2 linked regions of the Danio rerio genome follow. The protein of the gene in region 1 purifies or fractionates together with the protein of each later gene. This does not show direct contact. Links are inferred from orthologs where the notes say so. Each region holds a gene or a part of one and is shown in the gene's direction. Other genes may lie near its edges.

Evidence for each region. Proteins that work in one complex are often made in the same cells at the same time.
Region 2: the proteins of luzp1 (region 1) and dapk3 purify together in Homo sapiens (affinity purification with mass spectrometry; 3 studies listed by BioGRID and IntAct, with this or other methods). This does not show direct contact. The link is inferred for Danio rerio from reciprocal best matches to the Homo sapiens genes LUZP1 and DAPK3.

What each region holds. Positions count from the first base shown.
Region 1 is NC_133192.1:29,484,489-29,496,077, forward strand, and holds the start of luzp1 (leucine zipper protein 1), read left to right. Parts: upstream 1-4,519; 5' UTR 4,520-4,711; intron 4,712-4,825; exon of another isoform or gene 4,826-5,793; intron 5,794-5,872; exon of another isoform or gene 5,873-5,916; intron 5,917-11,589.
Region 2 is NC_133177.1:40,497,216-40,508,173, reverse strand, and holds part of dapk3 (death-associated protein kinase 3), read left to right. Parts: intron 1-2,335; 5' UTR 2,336-2,435; intron 2,436-3,142; 5' UTR 3,143-3,168; coding exon 3,169-3,230; intron 3,231-6,405; coding exon 6,406-6,766; intron 6,767-8,690; coding exon 8,691-8,820; intron 8,821-8,899; coding exon 8,900-8,948; intron 8,949-9,040; coding exon 9,041-9,067; intron 9,068-9,151; coding exon 9,152-9,304; intron 9,305-10,481; coding exon 10,482-10,527; intron 10,528-10,606; coding exon 10,607-10,958. UniProt on the Homo sapiens protein: Serine/threonine kinase which is involved in the regulation of apoptosis, autophagy, transcription, translation and actin cytoskeleton reorganization. Involved in the regulation of smooth muscle contraction.

The sequences.
Region 1 (11,589 bases):
ATGGTGCATGTCTTTGGACTTGTGGGGGAAATCGGAGCACCCGGAGGAAACCCACGCGAACAAAGGGAGAACATGCAAACTCCACACAAAAACGGCAACTAACCCAGCCGAGGCTCGCACCAGCGACCTTCTTGCTGTGAGCCGACATCGCTTCACACTGCACCACTGTGCAGCCTCTCTCAATAAATAATCATTTCTATATTAATAGTGTTTATAAAAAAGTATTTTGTTTTATAAAATGTGTGTGCAGGCTACATATGCTTTGAAGACAATAGCAAAAAAAAAAAATGTTGATTTACAGAGATAGAAGCAAGGACAAAGCAAGGACATTATACTTTCAATAAAATGCAACCAATCTCGTCATGGGAGAAATAAATAGAAAGATTGCTTTCTGCCATTGACATATATGCTATTAACAACATGAGATTGTATGTGTAAACAAATAATCTAAAACAATGACATTTTATATAGGGCAAAATGTTTTTATCATAATATATATCACAAATGCAACAGGCTAATATCATAGACACTGTTTCTGTTCATAGACATATGGTGAAGATTATCCTTGACTATGACAAGTGTAACTACAGCCACTCTGAGGCTACTAGGCTCTTTTTAGCATATTATTTCTGCCATGTGCTTATTCGGGATCACTGCCACTGGAGAAAGACTTAATTTTAACGGCCATCCCCTTCAGTGTATAATATATATGAAGCTTACACTGTTATGAAATGAGCCTGGTTCATTGATGTCTACTGGCCAGTTAGAAAAACACATGACTTGTTAAAGTTGCTCTCATATTGCATCCATCTACAGTACATATCAATGAATATACAGTATTAATCACTCTCATTTTGAATACAAGAGCCTCTAAATACTACCTCCATCTTGACAGATTAGAATAGATTTGCATTTTGTATTGTTACAATTTCTCATAGAAACACTGTTCGTGTGTGTGTGTGTGTGTGTGTGTGTGTGTGTGTGTGTGTGTGTGTGTGTGTGTGTGTGTGTGTGTGTGTGTGTGTGTGTGTGTGTGTGTGTGTGTGTGTGTGTGTGTGTGTGTGTGTGTGTGTGTGTGTGTGTGTGTGTGTGTGTATATATAGTTCAGTGAGTGCGTAAATAGTAAATTTCAGTAGTAGAAGAATATTAATATAAATGTAAGGATATATATATGCTTTTTGCTTTTAAAAGCAAAGCAATTATATCTATATATATATATATATATATATATATATATATATATATATATATATATATATATATATATATATATATATATATATATATATATATAGATATATATATATATAGATATATAGATATAGATATAGATATAATTGCTTTGCTTTTAAAAATCGGATCCTGTGAATTTGGAGTTGATGAATGAACTCACCATTGAGACTTACATTTTCACTTCTTACCTCTTCTCTAAGAATTTTTTTTTTTTCTAACGAGCAATCACAATGCCTTGCTTTAAAACAACTAATGAAACGAAAAATGAACACAATCTAAAATCAGAGTGGTTGCTAAAAATATAATGGTGTTTGTGAGTTTGGTGGTCTTGCGGGCTGAGACTGTACAACAGCAATCAGATGTTGGTTCAGATTCTGCACTGGAGGAAGTCTTTCTTCTGGATTGCTGCCTTTTTTTAGCAGTGGGTATGCTATTTCTGACCGCTACTTTTGTAAAAGTGAAGACAAGTAATATTCTATTTCTGCTGATGGAAATAAGCCTAATATGATCCTCTGCATGGTTGCCTTTGCATAACATATTCTTGTCTTTCTGCACTGTAAAGACATCAATGTATGTTTTATTATTTAAATATACCAAGACATTTAAATGTCAAAGAAAAGTTATTATTAGAGACGTTAATTAGTGGTGTTGTTAATATCTAAATTTAATTATAGTTAATGAAATTGTAATTATGTTAAAGATAGCATTTCAATAGAAATGTACAAATAAAAAAACACCCAAAATATAATCATAAAGATTAAACCAATAAACCAATAAAATAATGTTTATTCAGTGGTTAGCACTCACACTTGCCTTACAGCAAAAAGGTCACTGGTTCGAGCCCCGGCTGGGTCAGTTGGCATTTCTGAAACATTTCTGAACATGAAAACGGAGTTTTCCCCGTATTGGCGTCAGTTTCCTCCACAGTCCAAAGAAATGCGCTATAAGTGAATTGAATAGACTACATTGGCTGTAGTGTATGTGTGTGAATGAGTGTGTATGGGTGTTTCCCAGTGATGGGTTGCAGCTAAACGGTCATCCGCTGCGTAAAACATATGCTAGAATCTAGAATAGTTGGCAGTTCATTCCGCTTTGGCGACCCCTGATGAATAAAGGGACTAAGCCGAAGGAAACTGAATGAATGAATAATTATAAAAATTCCTTTTCTGGCTTTTTAATATTATGCTTAGATGATAAAATTGTGTAGTTAGAAAAAAAATTGCATTTAGAAGTTGTTTTCTTTTTGACTTTATTATAAAAGTCATAATGATTATTTTATTATACTTTAATGTTTTTATTGCAACATTGCCTGATAGCAGAATGGATGTGCTCCCATGTGGAGTAATGCCACAAAGTCCTAATTGTGTGTGTTGGTTTATTTTCCCTCAGAATAGTTCACTGTACCTTTTGCATAATAATATTAAAACATATAAATAAATAAATAAAAATATATATTCACATAATTATATAAATATATAAAACAAAAGTGACATTATGTTATTTTTTATACCTATGTTTAAATGTTTTTATTAAAGCATTGCTTGATATATTTGTTTTATTTGCAAAAAAAGTTGACATGTTGGTATCAATATTTGTATACGATACAGAATATGAATTCAGTTGTCAATAAAAAAGATATAAGAGAAAGAAAGAAAGAAAGAAAGAAAGAAAGAAAGAAAGAAAGAAAGAAAGAAAAATGGAAAATAATATAATAATTATTATTTTATAATAATAGATATGTAATCATAATAATAGATTATTATGTTCTTATAAAAAACATGAAATAAACTTGAGGGTAAGACGTTTAAGAATCAATTACAAAATAAAAATTAAATAATGACTAAATTCTTGCAAAAAAAAAAAGGAAAAAATGGTTTGGCATTTGTAAATTTGAAAGGGACTAAGCCGAAAGAAAATGAATAAATGAATGAATTAGTAAATGTGCATTTGTGGAATGGAATTACAAATAAAATAAATAAAATTTATAACAAAACAAGCATTTCTTTTAGTAGAGAGAGATTCATAATAACCAAACATAACATCTTTAAAAGTAACTATCTTATTGTATATAATCATTAATAAATTATCCAATATGTTTCCAAAATTGTACAACATAATTACAATACCAAAATAAATAAAAAATAGTTTCAGTATGAAACTTGCAAAATTAACATTTTACATCAATATTAGGATTAAATTTTTTCATAAATTGTTAAATAGGATACAAATTGCTGAATAGGGTGACACGGTGGTGCAGTAGCACAAGAAGGTCGCTGGTTCAAGCTTGGTCAGTTGGCATTTCTGTGTAGAGTTTGCATGTCCTCCCTGTGTTTGTGTGGGTTTCCTCTGGATGCTCCGGTTTTCCCCACAGTCCAAAGCAAAATGCGCTATAGGTGATTTGGGTACGCTAAAATGTCTGTAGTGTGTTTTCCAGCATTGGGTTGCAGCTTAACTGGCATCCGCAGCAACATGTTGGATAAGTTGGCAGTTCATTCCGATGTTGTGACTCCAGATTAATAAAGGGACTAAGCCAAAAAGAAAATGAATGAATGAATGAATGAATGAATGAATGAATGAATGAATGAATTAATGAATGTGTGGATCATTTTAAAAGATACTTATTTGACTTTATTGGTGAGGACATATTTTTGTTGCAAAGACCATATTTTTCCCATTTCAAATCTTTCTATAAATTATTTCAATAGAAAATTACAAGTGACAATGTAACAACATTTTCAATAAAATGAGATCTAATTTTGTAATTTCTATATTTTTTTATGAGAAAAAAACATTTTTACCAACAAACATCTCTGTCGGATCAGAAATATAAACTTTTTTTAGGAGGGGGAAGTTTGCTATTTCATAGGGCATAGAAATTGCTGATGCACTGCTTGATATTTGGTCACAGAAATCACATGCGAAGTGACATCACAAATGACGACATACAGAATTTTATTTTATGTTTTCATTTTTTGTTTTCACTGTGAAGCATTTTTTTTACAGTACTCGTGTATTCAGTTAATTTTTATCTACATTTTTAATGTTTGAATATCTGATTTATTCTGCTGTAGAGCTAAATAAAAAGTCGAGCTCTAATATGAACTATCTGAGTTCCCGTTATTCCTCTGGCTTCCTCTAGAGCTTGAGTGTTGGAGTGTCCCGTCGCTCGCTCGCTTGCTCTCTCTCTCTCCTCGGGGAAGGCGGGATCGTATTAGCCGAGCAGGGCGTTCTTTCTGCGGTCACAGGCGGCGTAGTCCTTCTAGGGGTGGGTCTTTCTTGGCAAAGGAAAACCCACCTTTTTCATTGTTTGGATCTCGAAGGAATGTGATGGTTTGATCCTGCTGCGCAAGGGAGGGGGTGAGAGAAGGAACCAGCGCGGACCCTGCTGAGAACTGCTCAATTCATCCTCAAAAAGTCAAACGCGGTTTGCCCTTCCAGAGAGCTACCTCCGAAAACAGGTCTTCTCCGGGTGCTCAAGGTAAGAGAAATTTGTTGCTAGTTTTAGTGGAAGGGGAGCTGAATGGTGGAATATGGCCCCCTAGACACAACTCCAAACTGCGGCAACTTTGCCACCCTCCTCCCCCTCCTGTTCGCTGCAGCGGAGGAGCTCGATGATAAGCCGGACTGCGGCGATTTTAGTCCGGTTATTTAGTGGCTGGTGGAGGAATGATAGCGACGTAGAGATGCAGAAGTAAACTTAACTGGGACTTTCCAAACCGCGGGTGTTTGTAGCCGAGCGGTAACTGAAACAACCGATTTATGTTGTGATTTTTTTAGGCTAAACCAGAGATTCAGTAGGGGTTGTTCTACGTCAGCAGCATCACACTGTGTAGCGAAGTAAAGTTTACATTTGTAACATTTTTACCCGATTTGCACTTTGTCGCGCGCGAGCATTGAAATGTCAAACCGATTTACAATCCACGCCACGTACACCCAAGAATATAGTGAGTTTTCAGACAGGAAAAGTCGCTTTCTCTGAGAACAATACCGCAGACGTTGAAGGAATTTGGGTCGACGTGAGTCAAAGTCTAAATAGTTTGATTTTCTTCTTAAATAAAGCGGTTTTCCACGTGCCCTTGAAAGCGTTTTCTTCCTGCGTTTCTGCCGAATAAGCAAGCAAGATTCAGCGGTGTGGGACTGGGACGCTCATGTTCGCCTGTCAGATATCCCGTGTTAAATTTGGATTTCTGTATCGTAACGTGCAGCTTTTTTAACGCAGTGTCTGTCCTGACCAGCATTACTGTCGACGGTACTGACACGAATAGAAAATGTATTTCAAGTCATTGCTATTAATGTTGACAGCCGTTATTAGAGATGCGAAGTGCGTGCACACACACGCTGACAGACTCAATTAAACGCGTTTGATGTCTTTTAACAGAAGCTTAGCCTTAAATGGTTCATATTAAGGCTTTTATCAGAAGTGGGAAGTCCTGTTTTTGCCTTGGCCTAAAACCCAGGTGTTTATTATTTGTGACTTGCGTGCTGTGTGGGTACAGAACCAAGGGATGTCATGTGGAGGTCAGGCTGGTTTGGGCTTTGCAATTGCATTTGTGTATCTTGGTATGTTCATGTCTAAAATGTTTAATAATTTGGATCGTTTGAATCTCTTGACTAATTTGGTTTGCTTTGATTTGTTCAGACTTTTCCCTCAGGTTACATAAGTACGCCAGTAGGTGGCGAGAAGTAAGTCCTAGTACTCCACACTTCCTTACATAGTATGCATGAAGTATGCTAGTTAAGTAGAATAACTTAAAGTATAGTATTTATTAGCCCAGTGGTTCCCAAAGTAGGTTCACAGGGTAATGACAGGGGGTCGCTTGGTGGTTTACAAAAGTCAAATAAATTATATTAAACTATTAAAATAACCATATTTTATCCCTAACCCACAGAAAAGAGTAGTTAATAGTTGCATTTGAAACAAAGATGTCCAAAGTAGGCACGTGGGCCAAGGTTGGCCCATTGTAACCTTTGATTTGGCCCACCATTTCATCTTAGAGAAGCGAGTATGATGGTGATAAATCAAGGCAAAACAAGTGTAATTCTGTCATAAATGAGATTGTTCTGTTTTTATTGTTATAAGTTCATAAAAAATGTAAATGAAGAAACTGTATTAGTTAACAAATATATATATATATATATATATATATATATATATATATATATATATATATATATATATATATATATATATATATATATATATATATATATATTATATAAACTATAAAATTATCCAACTATATTTACCTCTGGCCCACTAGCCTCAATCAATTTTGTTTTTTTGCCCTTAATAGGAAAAAGTTTGAGCATCCCTAATATAAAACAAACAACATGCAAATGAAAAGCCATCTGCCTTTAAATGATTTTTTTTCATGGGATTGGTGTGCTTATGTTAGATTAACAACAAAGCATTAGCTGCAGCAGATTGATTTTATAGCACCAGGTTACACTTTCCGACGCCTTTATTAAAATCAAATACATTAAAAATAAATACAGACCACAACTGAATATTGAAAATTGATTTCTGATAGGCGTTTCCAAAATTAAACCAAGAATAGATGCTTAAAACCTTGTGTCCACCAGTCTCTATTGGTGAAGATAATAATAAATTAAACAAATTATTAAATGACTAAAAAAAATGACATGGTACATAGTTTTTTGTGTTGTCAATATGTTTGTTTTTATATAGGCCTATTGTTGTCTACATTTGTGTATTTATATTTTACACGTCTGAAGAATTTGAGGGTCGCAAGTCACTGGCATTGTTATTTTGGGGGTCACAGGCTGAAAAGTATGGGAACCCCTGCAAACGCCAAATAATAATTTACTTGCATATTTGACAGCTGCTGTTTATGGCATGTGAGCTAAGAAATCAAAGGTTTAAACTATCAAGTGAGATTTCCCGTTCATTTCAATGTTGATTTCACATGAACTTTAAAAATAGAAGTCTCTCATTTTGTATACTTTTGCATTATTTTGTGCGATTTTGTAGAACATGTTAGTTGAGTAGAGTGTTCACACTGAATATTCCATCAAGGAATAGTCTACTTGAACACTTGATTAAAAGAGTTTGGAATCTTGGACACATTACAGGCTTATTTGTAGAGTTTATACAATGTTAACGATTATTTCAGTAAAGGGACCTTTTTATTCCAGATCCAGATTCCAGATTTTTCTCATCAGTTTGTTTAATCTAAAGCAAGTAGACATATTTGCATTTTCACATAGTGTTTTGATTGACCTCTTGTCTATTTTCTAGCACTTATTTCTTTGAGATAAGGGTCTATTGACAAGTCACTCGTGTATGCATGCACAATATCTGATGAGAAGGAACTGTTGAAAAAGTTGTCGTTATTTTTCTTTTCTGTGTGCACAAAAGCATTCTTGTAGCTTGATAATATTCCAATTGAACCACTGAAGGCATGTAGTCTGTTTTGAGCTTCTGGACCTTTATGGACTTTGCACAAGTCAGGAATCTTGTGGTCTGTAGAGGACGATTCTCTCAGATTTAATATAAAATATCATAATTTCTATTCTGAAGGAGAACAAATGTTTCAGAGGTTTGGGACAACATGAGGGTCAGCAATCAATCATTGCATTATCATTTTTGGGAGAATTTACTCCTCTATACCAGGTGTAAACAGAAGCTACGAATGAAGTAAAGCACTTACATGCTAAAATAAATTGTCTTCAGGAATTAAAAATCAGTGTGTGAAAGAAAGCAAAAACAATTAATGTAATTATAAGATAACATTGATTCAAAAACAATTATTTATGAACAGAATTGTTTGTACACACACACACACACACACACACACACACACACACACACACACACACACACACACACACACTCACAAACGAGTCTGCATTTGTCAGGTAGGCTGCAGCGGTGACGGTTGGGGGGTTGGGAAACTGACATGAAAATAAAACACTAAGCACAGAAAGAACAGCAGCAACCCCCAATACAAGCTCCATTACATTAGGCAGGTGGGGCCCATAAAGCAAAGACGGGGAGGACGAGTGCAGAGAGGACCTGCCATGACCTGTCCCGACTTAAATGCAGAGCACTGACGGATTTCCAGTAAGGCCTGAGAGACAGCGCCTGTCAGGGAACACTTGTGTCAGTGTGTTCAGTATGAACAGTAAATTAGCCTTGTGAACTAAATACTGTTATGGATACTGGCACTTGATAGCTTATATGACACTTATATGACTCTATAGCTTTAGACTTGAATCTTGCACAAGCCCTGCCTTTGTGTTGATACAGGAATTTTATGGAGTGGAGATTAAATATTTGAACTTCATGTGAGTTTCTATGATAAAGTAGCATAGTTTGACAGACTGAATTGGAGTTGGTTCTGAATGGAAGTCAGGCCGTGAGGTTGTTTAAAACCAAAGGACGATTCTGGAATGCCAGGAGTTAAAAGTTTAAAGTTTAACACTGTTTTAATTTAGAGTTTTGCTGTACCTATCTTGTTGCATTTTAGTGTGATCTTTAAAGCTTCTCAGTGCTGGGTTGTCATCATAAAAAAGTCACATGTTGTTCTGCTACTCATGCATTTAGGGAAGCAAAAGAAAAAAATATATTGCACAATAATTAATGCTAATAGTATTTATTTTATTTTAAATCTATTCAATTCAGGTTTATTTCTATAGCGCTTTTACAATGTAGATTGTGTCAAAGCAGCTTAACAAAGAATTGAAACTGTGTCAGTCCAGTTGTCAGAGTTCAGTTTAGTTTAGTTCAGTTCTGTGTGGTTTAATATTCACTGCTAAAAAAGTCCAAATACTGAAGAGCAAATCCATCAATGCCCAGCTCCACAAGCCCCAACCAAACAAGCCAGTGGCGAGGATCAAACTTCAGCAAATTGACGAAAGTAAAGGGAAAAAAAATTGAGAGAAACCAGGCTCAGAAATATATAATTGGCTTGTTTATATTTAAATCAAATATTTTATTTATACATTTAAAAAATACTGTTCAGTCATTTTAGGTTGGAGAGTTTTTACAAAATGATTTTAATGCTTTCATTTGTTAAAAAATAGAATAAAATAAAATGTAATCATTGATTCTATAATTGGATTTTTGTATCGTAACGTGCAGCTGTTTTTGACGCAGTGTCTGTCCTGACCAGCATTACTGTCGGCGATACTGACACGAATAGAAAATGTATTTCAAGGCATTGCTATTAATGTTGACATCCGTTATTAGAGATCTGAGGTGCATTCACATACGTGTTCTCACTCTTTGGATGTACATGATTACGTAGGGCTGGGCCACTTGGCATAAAAATAAAATCTTGAATAATTGAACATTTTAAATCAATTACAGTTAATAAACAATTATTTTATTTATTAAAAAAGGTCTTTTATTTCACTGACAAGTATAGTAAATATGCTCACATATTACAAGGGAGAGATTTCTGAATGAAGGGTGTATTACTTGATATTAAGTTATTTGAAGGAAACACACACCAGCTACTATCTATGATTATTTATTGAACCATCCTCCTTGAACAACTGAAATTGAAAACGCATGTTGCCTAAAACCAACAGTCACTTTTTTTCGAAAATGTTAAAATAAATCAGCTGCGTATATTTGAGCATGCAGTAAGTTTTGTGCATGAACGTTCACGCGCTCATACTACATCATTGCACTCTCAGCTTGTAATACTGTGCTCACAACATTTGTCATTGAAATAACTCCATAGAGATCAAATATGGCTGGAAAGTGCTGAACCTTTTTCAGTTTTGTGGGGTCATGTGATTCGAAAGGAAAAGTAGTCAACGAATCGACATGGAAAAAGAGCTCGATTAAAGGTTCTGAATGTCGATTTCAGTTAATCACTCAGCCTTATGATTATGTAATCAATGATGTTGAATTGGAGCTCTAGAAAAGTCATTTAAAGTCAGAACATTTGGGCTGTTCGATGATTTTCTGTAATAACGATTTTGTGCTTGTATTTATGTAAAAGTAACCCCAGCAACATGGAGTACTAAATACTTTACTGTGTTTGGTTACCACTTATTTTTGAAAAATCAGTGGAGAGCCACTGTACTGGAGTATGTTCAGCTGGAGATCTGAAGCTGGATGTATTTGCTCTCTGCCAAATGCCGACAGACACTCTTTGTGTTGCTCTTCTATTACATATTATCTCTTTCTGTCTTGTGTGTTTCATGACCTGCAATGTTGTTTCACTTGTCTCTCACCTTAAAAGAGCAAAGGTTGATTTCTGATGAGCCATTCTTGGTTATAAAATAGTGCATGTGAACTTTGTCAGCTGGAACAGGATGGGTGGGTGTTTGCGAAAGTGTAAAAGCAGGGGCAGTTCAGTCCTCTCTCAAGAGAAAGTTTGAAGAAGAACGTTTGCACAACTTTCACGCGATGAATAGCGGTGCTCCCTCTCCAGCACTTTCCTTTATGAGCAGGGCCTGCTGCTGGTTTTGCCAGCCTGCTGATTGCTTTTCCACTCTGAGGAAACATGCAGTGAAACGCTTGTGATGGTTATCGGTTTCCAATAAGAGTAATTACCAGACTTAACACCAGTCCCGGGGATTATGGAGAAGCTAAATGACTAGTGTGAGGTTTAAATTGAATATTGCGGTTCTCTCCTGGTGTTCCCTCTCTGTCTTTGTGTCTCTTTCTTTCTCAATCAAATAAATCAACAGATTCTGTTAACAAGTTTTCATTATGGTGGAAAAAGGTTGTGAGTGCAGCTTTAGTTTTATACTTATGGGATAGTTTGGAAACTTTACATGACATCACTGTTCTTCTTTCTCTGTAAGAATGACTTGACACTTCTACTGAAATGCAAAGGGAAGTTGCATTTATTTGGGTATTTTAGCAGACAGATGTACTTATGTGACAAACAGTAAAGCTGGTGTGAACGTCACTGGCAGATTAGCTTTTTACAACCTGCAAATGTATTTCCAACATTGCAACTGAGGCCCTGTTTACTTCTAGTTTTAGTTAATTTTTTTCCAAGTAGTAGACACATTACTATTTTAAACCTGTTTTTTATTACTTTCGCATTACATTCAATCTCAGATCACTTTAATGCATAAAATCGCATTCCCAGCCCTTGTAGTCATGAAAAAAATGCATTGTTACACAAGTTGTAAACCAAGTCTGACATCAACAAGCACTTTCAAATACATAAATACTTGGAAGAAAACAAATAACTTTGTGTTTTTGTTGGTGTTACTTCAAACTGTGACTTAAAAATTGGTGTTTATGGAATGGATGACCAAATCTGGTTCACAGCTGAAGGTGTCTTCAGTTTTGTGCTGTCAAGGAGTGTGAGAGCTTGCTGACAGACATCCAGCTTGAAGAAGAGGTGTTAAAGTGTGAACAGT
Region 2 (10,958 bases), on another chromosome or scaffold:
CATCAAATTTATGCAAAATTATGGAACGGATGGTTATGGATAGATTGGTTTTTGTATTAGAAAGTAGAAACATTTTTTCAGCATGTCAAAGCGGATTCAGAAAAGGAAGAAACACAATGGACTCAATCTTGTGTTTAGAAAATGAAATTCGAAAGGCACAAATAGGGAAAGAGGTACTTGTGGGAGTGTTTTTCGATGTGGAAAAAGCTTATGATATGTTGTGGAAAGAAGGTCTTCTCTTAAAATTGGAAAACATGGGAATAGATGGGAGAATGTACAATTGGATTCTGAGTTTTTTATTTGGTAGAACGATTCAAGTAAGAGTAGGGACTGCATTGTCTAAGATTCTTCCAATTGAGAACGGCACACCTCAAGGAAGTGTGAGTAGCCCAATTCTGTTTAACATAATGATAAATGACATCTTTCAAAATATAGAATCAGGAATAGGAAGATCACTGTACGCGGATGATGGAGCGATATGGAAAAGAGGACGAAATGTAACATTTGTAGAAAATAAAATGCAAATAGCAGTGAATAAAGTTGAGAGTTGGGCTAATAAATGGGGCTTTCGGTTTTCTGTTGAAAAAACGCAAGTAATATGCTTCTCGAAAAAAAAAAGCAATCCAGTATTAAACATCAAAATGTATGAAACGCGGTTAGGGCAAGTAAATGTAATCAGATTTTTAGGTTTATGGATGGATAATAAATTAACATTTAAAATTCATATTGAGAAATTAATTGAAAAATGTAAAAAAGGAATAAATGTATTAAGGTGTTTGGCTGGAGTTGAGTGGGGTGCCAGTAGTACAGCATTAAAAAGAATTTATAATGCTGTGATAAGGTCAAACATTGATTATGGGTGTATGGTGTATAGTTCTACTAATAAAACATTGATTAAAAAAATAGAGGTCATACAAAATCAAGCTCTGAGGATATGTTGTGGTGCTTTTAGATCTTCTCCAGTGGCATCATTACAAGTTGAAATGGGAGAGATGCCATTAGAACATCGAATGTCTCAGCTGAGAATGAGATATTGGATAGGAATAAAAGGTCATTTGGAAAACCATCCTGTTAGATGTCTTTTAAAAGATTGCTGGGAGTATGTGTACAAAGAAATAGCAAGTTTTGGTTGGGTAGTAAGAAAGGAAATAAACAGTTTAGAATGGAAAGATCTGGAAGTTGCTCCATCTGTCATTATACCAACAATTCCCCCATGGGTGTTTCCTATGCCAGTAGTAGATCTGCAAATTCATGAAAGAATTCAAAACAAGGAGATAATTATTCCAACTAAATTATTAGTTCAAGAATATATCCAACAGAATTATTATTCTGTATTACAAATCTTTACAGATGGGTCGAAGGAACCTAAGTGTGGAAGAACTGCTGCTGCTGTATATATTCCACAATTTAACATCAAAATTGCAAAGAGATTATCAGATCACGTGTCAGTGTTTACCTCTGAATTATTAGCTATTATTATAGCACTTCAATGGATTGCAGAAGTCCAACCAGAAAAAGCAGTAATTTGTTCGGACTCAATGGCTGCACTTAAAAGCCTTCAAAGTGCCAAATCTGAAGCTAGACAAGATTTAGTATTTGAAATTTTACAAAATTTATTCACAATTAGGCAGTTAAGAATAATGGTTTCATTTCTCTGGGTACCGGCACATGTGGGTGTAGATGGGAATGAGGAAGCTGATATGCTAGCAAAAAAAGCTTTAAATAATGAGCAAATAGAAATTAAATTAGCATTAAGTAAAACAGAATTTAAAAGAATGATTGCAGTCGAAATATATAAGAAATGGCAACAGGTGTGGAACAAGGAGACCAAAGGAAGACATTTATATCAGATTCAGGAATTTGTAGGAAACGGGAGGAAAAGATACGGATATCGAAGGAAAGATGTCATCATAACAAGACTAAGGATAGGCCATACGTCATTAAATTACAGCTTGTATAAAATAGGAAAGCATGAATCAGGGAAGTGTGATAATTGTGGAGAGTTGGAAACAGTCAATCATATAATTTTAGAATGCCCAGCTTATGAAAGAGAGAGGTTTGATTTAATACAAGAATTAGGACAGCTGGAAGATAAGGTAATTTCTTTGAAAGTATTGCTAGGAAACGGGCTTAGACAATCAAAAATTCATGAGATATTAATTAAATATTTGGGAAATATAGGAATAATGCATAGAATTTAGTTTTTTTTTTTTTTTTTTTTTTCTTTTTTTTTTTTTTTTTTTTTTTTTTTTTTATATATATAATTTAATATAGTCATTTAATGTATATATAAGTGTTTTCCTTCTACTCCAATTATGTACAATCCACACTCCAGATCAGTAGGTGGCGGTAATGCACCTATTTTTGTTGGTTTGCCAAACCGCCATAAAACACCAGAAGAAGAAGAAGAAGAAGAAGAATGCGGCGACGTTAAGGTATGTAAAAAACTCTCAGCGTTTGTTTTTTATCCACAATTCGTTCTTTTGGATACTATTATTTATATGGTAGATAATATCCTGTATATGTATTCCGTTATTTGTCAACGAACGTAGCTTGCTCGTTGATCGCTAGTCGTTTCTTTTACAAGTTAGCCAGATGGCTACCTGGAATTAGTGCTTCGGTAACGTTAACGTTAGATATGTTGTGGATTATAAATATATATGTATGTTATTTTGTATTCGTCTCACGAACTCTTTCGTAACTTTTCAACTTATTTTCGACTGTGACACTAAAATAAGCTAAGTTAGTTGTTATCTTAACGTATTAAGGCTTGATATACACTTATTGCAGATTCCGAGATGTTTGTAATTTCTACTGGACTGTAACTTAGTAATGATATATTATCTACTGTTAAAGATCTTTGATATAGACAGAAAAGTAAAAAAAAAAAACTGGCAACCCTCTACTGTGGGTAATGACGTAAGTAGGAATAAAATGTGCAAATTATGCTAATGCAAGTTCACATTCCCATGTCTATTTAAAGTCCGTTTTTCTGAGGTTAAAGCAAATACTGAAGTATGTTGACTTTCCACAACACTGACAAACCATTTATAGCCATTGTCATTAAAGTGTCAGCATCTGGTTTAGTCAAAATTGTTCAATTAAGTCTTATCAACTCAGGTTTTTGTTTCCTTTCTAACAGGCTCATTAATTTGAAGTCAGCAAATCATGGCTGGCTTCAGGCAGGAGGATGTGGAGATCTACTATGACATGGGAGAGGAGTTAGGAAGGTAAGAGATGCCATTTCACTCCTTGAAACTCTACATCTACTTAAATCATTTTACATATAATAGATAAAACAATGATTAAAATTCAAATTAGCAAATCAATGCTTCAAAAACTATTTTTATTTTTGATGAAGAAATCAGTAAAGTTCTGTAATGATGTAGAATTTAAAGGAATAGGTCATACTGTTTGTCCTAGAGTTGCCAAGGCAATGTAGTGTTTGTGCTTATCAGTGCAGAACAAAAACAAACATTATGAAAGCCCTGCAATTTAAAAAAAGCCCAGCACACTCACTTAATCATCTGCAAACACTGAATCAAGCCTAGTCTTTCTTCCTATATATGGATGTAGAGGTTTCTGCTGCAGCATGACATCACTGCTTTAAAATGCACATGCTCAGTGTCTGAGCCTGAGAACAGCTGTACTGCAAAAGAGACTATAGTGAGGCTATGAGAAAAATACACAAGGACAGTAACTAATGATCCATACAGTGTTTATTTTTTTAAGAATAGAGAGCTCCACATCATAACTTTAACATTAACAGCACAGAAGAACAACATTGTTTGAGTCACTTTAAGATGCTGATGCTGCTGATGATTTCCAGCTGATGGATGATAAAAACATTGGCAGCCAGACCTGCTTTTATCAGCTCAAGTATTTAAAGCCACAGATGACAGAACAACTTTATTATAAATAGTACTTAAATGTGCAATGGAGGATATGCTAAAATGGTTATTGCTCATGGTTTAATAAAGTCTTTATTCAAATTTACAGTAAATGTTTTATTTTGTGCAATGTTTGTACTTCGTTTATGTCATTTTTTGCATTTAGGCTTGTTTCTTAAACAACTTTCAAAAATTGGTGATGTAGCCTTATATTTAGTCAAATTTAACGTATCTGTTTTTAAGACTTTATGTATAAGTATATTTTTATTACAATTTTGTGAATCACTTATAACAAAGTAAACAAACAAAAGGTCAACCAAATGCAGATATGTCAATGTGTTGTACAAACTATAGTTTCACCTTTCCAAATCTATAGTCAAGAGTGTAATAATTTGTCAAACTTTATCATAACAGTGTGATCTATTTATTTATTGTTATCTAATTCGTCAACATGATGTGAGTGAATTGTAGAGCTGGTACTAACACATATTATGTCCAGGTGCTTTCTTAAATGCTGTTTTCTCATAGCATTTTATTGGATTAAATTTGTTATTGAGAGGCAAGTGCTTTTTATTAGTTATAGCTAGTGCTTAATTTGTAAATGAACAATTTCTAGAAACAAAACCAGGAAATAAAAGTTAGAGTGACAGACGCCCACCAACTAAGCGGTTATATAAAAAAAAGCATCACATTTCTGAACAGTCTTTAATTATTTGTGCAATATAACGTTATAGGTCAACCATGGATCAAACAAACATGTTACTACAAACATAAATCGTATGAAACATCACTTTTCAGTTTACTAACATCACATTCAGTTCACTTCACTATTGAAGATGACCCACTCTGTCTAATATTCAAGAAGAGCCCAGTTTCCTTTCCGTCATGTTTTCTGGCTGACTTGAGTTTGCTTCTGTCTCCTGCTATCCTGATCCAGGGGTGCAGTTTCATCTTCTCTTGATCAGACTCATTGTCTTATTTACTTGTAATTTTTAAACAAATAATATATGCTTTACTGCCTCTGGCATTTTGAAAATACAAATATCATTTGGGTAAGCCACAATACCATTGTTTATTTTTCGCTGCTCACTGTGCGCGAAACAATAATCACCAACCAATGAGAGTGATTGTAAATGTAAGAAAGCTGATTGGTCAAAAGTGGCTTATTTCTGCATGAAAATGGCAATGCACAAATTCAGACAGTAGTTCACTTAATGGCCACTAGTATCGATAATAACAAGGTATTCCAACACAATCTCACAGCAATTCGTAACTTTTTGATTTATTGGCTAATTCATATGAATTCGTATGATCTAATTCGTATAATTTAGTTTGATTTGCGCATCCCCCAATGACGGTCGGGGTTAGGTGCCACGCCTCCTTTTTAAAATCGTACAATTTCGTACGACTGAACTCATACGGATTTGTACGAATTAGCCACTAAACTGGCAAAACGTAAAATACTTACGTTTCCTCGTGACATCAGGCTGGGTATTCTGTACACCACTGTTTCCCAATCCTGTTTTCGAAGGCACACCAACAGTATTGACTCTCTTCCTATTTAAACACACTTGAATCAAATCATCAGAACATTAGAAGAGAACCTGAAATGTTACCTCGTAAACCTGAAATGAATGCTTCAGATAAGTGAGGCCATGTCCACACACACACGGGTAGTTTTATGAACAGTTTTCCTAGCTTTTGTTTTTTTAAATAAATCTCTGTCCACATGAAATAGCAAAAATGCATTGTGATGCATGTTATAGGGATGCCGAATCAACAGGTGGCGATAATGACACTTATATTCAGCTCACACCAGATGGGAAATTCATTATATTACACGAATACATTGCATTCAAGTTTATGCAAACGTGAGTTCAGAGGCGCAACAATGCAGAATACACGATTAATTTGCTGCAAATGCGCAGAATTGGCCTCATTCACGTTTTCCCTGTTTGGAGTGAACCCAGCCGTGTTGGCCAATCAGAGAAGAGAAAACAGCAAAATATGTACTGTTGGTGTGCCTCCAGGAACAAGGTTGGTAAAAACGGCTGTACTCTACTACGCGTTGCCCCTGAAGGCTATACCCTATGACTACACATTAGGAGCGAGTGTTTAGTAAAATCATTCAGATGCAGTGATGTACAACAACATTTTATGACCTGACAGGTTACGAGGAAAATGCATTATATTCCAGAATAAAAACATGGCCAAAGGAAAACAATAATAGTTTTACTGCATTCAGAGCATCTCTCTCTCTTCTCTCTTTCTTATAAGAGTTTAATATTACAAGCCAAGAATATTTGTAACACATACAGGTTCAATTTCAGCACTGGGAAACCAGGGGGCCTGGTCACCCCATGTGTGGGACTGAATTATAAAGCCTAAAAAAATGCATCGTATCATATGAAAGCAAAAATTGCACGTTGTATATCCTATTCAAACTATTACAACATCATAATTTTCCCCTTTTTAATTGTTGTTTTTCTCTGCTTCAATTTACTGTGTTTCCCAGTGGCCAGTTTGCCATTGTGCGTAAATGCAAAGAAAAGAGCAGCGGAACTGAATATGCTGCCAAGTTTATCAAGAAGAGGCGTCTGTCCTCCAGCAGACGAGGCGTGAGCCGGGAGGAGATTGAGCGCGAGGTGAACATCCTTCGGGAGATTCAGCACAGCAACATCATCACACTCCATGACATCTTTGAGAACAAGACCGATGTGATCCTGATCCTGGAGCTGGTGTCTGGAGGAGAGCTCTTTGACTTTTTGGCTGAGAAGGAGTCACTTACTGAGGAGGAGGCCACGCAGTTCCTCAAGCAAATTCTGGACGGAGTTCACTACCTCCACTCTAAACGCATCGCTCATTTTGACTTGAAGGTACAATACTGTTTTGTTTTTTATGGGATACCGTGGATAAAAAAAAACTTGTATGGTTTGATAACTTAAATTATGTCTCTTACTAAAATATGTAGTTGAAAACCAATAAAAGATTTAAGCTATTTAAAAAAACATAAAATCTTGACTTAGAGGGTAGGGATGTAACGGTATTGTAAATTTTTAATTTTAATTTAAAAAAATATTAATTTTTTTCGATATTACCGAAGTCGCATGACTCGGTAAAACTATAGATCTTCTGAGAAAATTTGCTCAGGCGAATGAAGCGAACGGGAGGTAGCGGAAACTACAATTCCCATCAGCCCATGCTTGACCATCATCCCTTGCGGTCTGTTGTCGCTACAGATCCAGTAATGCGGAAATGGAGTGTGCTGCTAGAAGCGGGGATGAAAAAGAGCTGGAAAACTCTAAAGCGGGTGTTGTTGCGGCGCGCGTACTGAATAGCGGTGTTGTCGCGCGAGTTCTTATCAGCTGTGTTGTCGCGCGCGTACTGAATAGCGGTGTTGTCAGCACACTGTTCAGATTGATGCAGACATGAGACCTCTATCTTACTCATGGTTTGTCCTCTCAAGTGGGGGAAAGACAATGCACAACGTTACCCACTGCTGTCAACCTGGGCCAAGTCATATCTCTCTTGTCCCAGAAACCTCAGTCCCAAATGAGAGGGTTTTTTTTCTGTTGCAGGGGACATTGTAAATGCCCAGAGATACCAGCTTTTACCAGATTATATTTATATGATAATTTTCCTTTAAACCCATCTCTATCTAAGTGAGTGAGTGATTAAATGTTGAATGTGATGAGTTTTCAACAATACTAAATTGAAACTTTATTTTTTTACATGGTTTAATATTTTTTTGTTATTAAAATTGAAGTTCCTGTTTCAAAGCTTACAGATAGATGGCTAATTTGTATGTCATTGACACTTTTGGCACTTTTTTGGAGTATTTTCATAAGTTTTGTTTTTTTCTGTAAATGATTCAATAAATACCGTACCGTGACATTCATACCGAGGTATTACCGTACCGTGAAATTCTGATACCGTTACATCCCTATTAGAGGGTCATTAATTTAGTTGTACAGTACTTGAAATCCGAAAGTTGCTCACGGTGAACTACTAGCACTGTTTGTTTCCTTTTTTATGGCAACACAACTTGGGAGTTCAAAACAGTAATACAATGCCACATTGTTGGGATTTTTTGATGTAATTTTCAATTGAAGGGTATCAATATTCAGTTGAAGTTCTAACTCCTGTTTGTGTTGACCACCAAAAGATAAAAGTTTTATTGTACCTTTATTTTTATTTAGACCAAAGAGCTTAGAATGACCAAGAGGCGACACTCAATAGAACGTTCCATTGCAACAGCAGCGCCCAGCAACAGCCCCAGATTCCGCCATTTTGGAGTGAAAGTGATCGGCCGTCCATTGGATCTCATTACTGTCGCGATGGCAAGCAGCTGCGTTGTTTTTAATTAATTTATTTAAAAACCCCATTAAAGCAGAGATACAACCTGAAAGACGACAATACAATATTTGTTATCAAAATCATCAGCACTTTTAATAGCTTATTTTACTGACTTATAATATGCTGTTGTTCTATTGGAGTTTTCATTCCAAAATGGTCCCCGCGCCCTCTAGTGGCTGTTTCCCAAATTACAATAGAGTGTCGCCTCTTGGTCATTCTAAGCTCTTTGTTTAGACAAAGAAAACATGAATAAAATGTAAATATTAAAAGCCATAAATATTAGTGGAATATTTTCTAAATATTTTCTACTACATATTTTGGTAATAGACATATTTTTTATTAAATGAAGCTATACAAGTTTTTGCTCTTTTGTTAACGTAGATGCACGAAGACTCTCAATATTTTACATGTATTACAATAGTCTTGTCTCACTGTGTTTTTCAGCCTGAAAACATAATGCTGTTGGATAAAAATGTGCCGAACCCCAGAATCAAGTTGATCGATTTTGGAATTGCACATCAGATTAAGGATGGAAATGAATTTAAAAACATCTTTGGAACTCCTGAGTTTGTTGGTAGGATTTTAAGCTGCGTTTAGCTCTTAGTTATGATAACATTTATTAAAAAGTCTTAAATTTCCAATATCTTCCATAGCACCGGAAATTGTAAATTATGAACCCCTTGGGCTGGAGGCAGATATGTGGTGAGTCAATCGTTTAGTTGTTTAATTTACATTGCAACTCTAAGATGTTCGGTTCACAATTAGTCATGATTTATTTGTTTTCTTTCCTGCAGGAGTATCGGAGTTATCACTTATATACTGTAAGTAGTTGTTATCATGTTTGGCTGTATTGATCACATTGTATTTGGCTTGACAAATATTAATGCATTATTTACGCTTCTTAGCTTGAGTGGGGCTTCTCCATTTCTTGGTGAGACCAAACAAGAAACACTTACCAATATTTCAGCAGTCAACTATGACTTTGACGAAGAGTACTTCAGCAACACAAGTGAACTCGCGAAGGACTTCATTCGCCGACTGCTCGTCAAGGATCCCAAGTTAGTAGTATAAACCAATGTGGTCACTGAAATAAAACAAAACAGAAATATTGCATTATAAGCTTTTTCCACTCTCAAGCTGAACGTCAGGTACGTTTTCAGGTGTGTTTCAATGTGAGCCTTGAACAGCATGGCAACAAACCATTATAAGCCCAGAACTCTTGGCATGGTTAGCCAACTGTGTTGGGCTGGTAGAGCTTGTGTGCACATGTCATCACCAGTCTGTTTTCTGGCTACCAGTTTCTACATAGCTGGCTAGGGAGAAGAGTACGATGCGAATTACAGGGGGGTTTGATTAAGGCTTGAAGAACGTCAACAAGATGTATGGGGGGTTCTTTTTTATTTGAGAAAAAGTTCACTCTGATCTGTATTTTAAATTATAATGTTAATAATTAAAATAATAGATATCCAATTGACCAACGGTTCATACCATTTTGAATGCATAAATATGCCAATCAGTCTATGTGCAAAAAAAAAAAGTCAATCAACAGTCTGAAACCAGCAGATATAGAGCACCAATAGACACCTTAACACTCCACAAGACTGAATTCTCATAATATAGGTGTTTGTGTCTATATAAAGCCTAAAAAAAATCTAATTAGACTCATAGTTTGTATAGTTTGACCTAAAGTAAGCCGAAATAGCTAAGCAGGCAACAAATCGTTTATGTATGATTTGCACAATACAGAAGAGCACTATGCATTTAAATATTTGTGTTTTTTCTAAATGTCCTAAAAACATCTGATCACTGTCCATTTTGCATGGTCCATATTGTTACCTATTGCATGACTGGTGCATTTGTATTGCATTCCAAAGAGTACTGGTAATAGCACCACAGTAAAAAATGAAATCATTTCCTGCTGACTACACACAGTCAGAGTCAGATTGGAATTAAGTAAACAAAACCATTCGGCCTGATAGTGGAAAAGTGGCTAAAATCATCAGTAATTAAATGAAATCAGTTAAAAATTATTTTAAACCTTATTTAACCTTAAATATGTTTTTCCCTATTTAGTTTTTTCAGTTTCATGACATTGGCATATAACAGAATGACATACTAATAAAGTTAATTTGAAACATTTGTAAATACTATAATTAAAAATATAAATATTAGCAAACCAAATATTTTCATTTGTTTGTATTGACATTTATCTTCATATCTGCTTTTAACAATCAGAAAGAGAATGACAATCGAGGACAGTCTCCAGCACTCGTGGATCAAGGTTCAAATATTTTACTTTTCCTCCCATTTGACTTGTGCCACCATTTGTTCAGTGTTTAACACAGTTCTTGTCCCATCAGGTCATTAAGAGACGAAATGTTCGACCCGAAGAGAGCGAGCGCAAGCCTGAACGCAGGCGTCTGAAGACCACCCGTCTCAAAGAGTACACCATCAAATCCCACTCCAGCATGCCTCCCAACAACACCTACATCAACTTCGAGCGATTCTCCCAGGTCATGGAGGAGATCGCAGCGGCCGAAGAAGGCCTGCGAGAGCTGGAGAAAAACCAACGATCGTGTGGTGAGGATGTGACCGCTCTGCTCTCAATATATGAGGAGAAGGAAAGCTGGTACAAAGAGGAGAACGAAAGCATCGCCGCAGACCTCAGTCAGATCAAACAGGAGCTGCAGAAAGCACAAGCCCTGCGCAGAC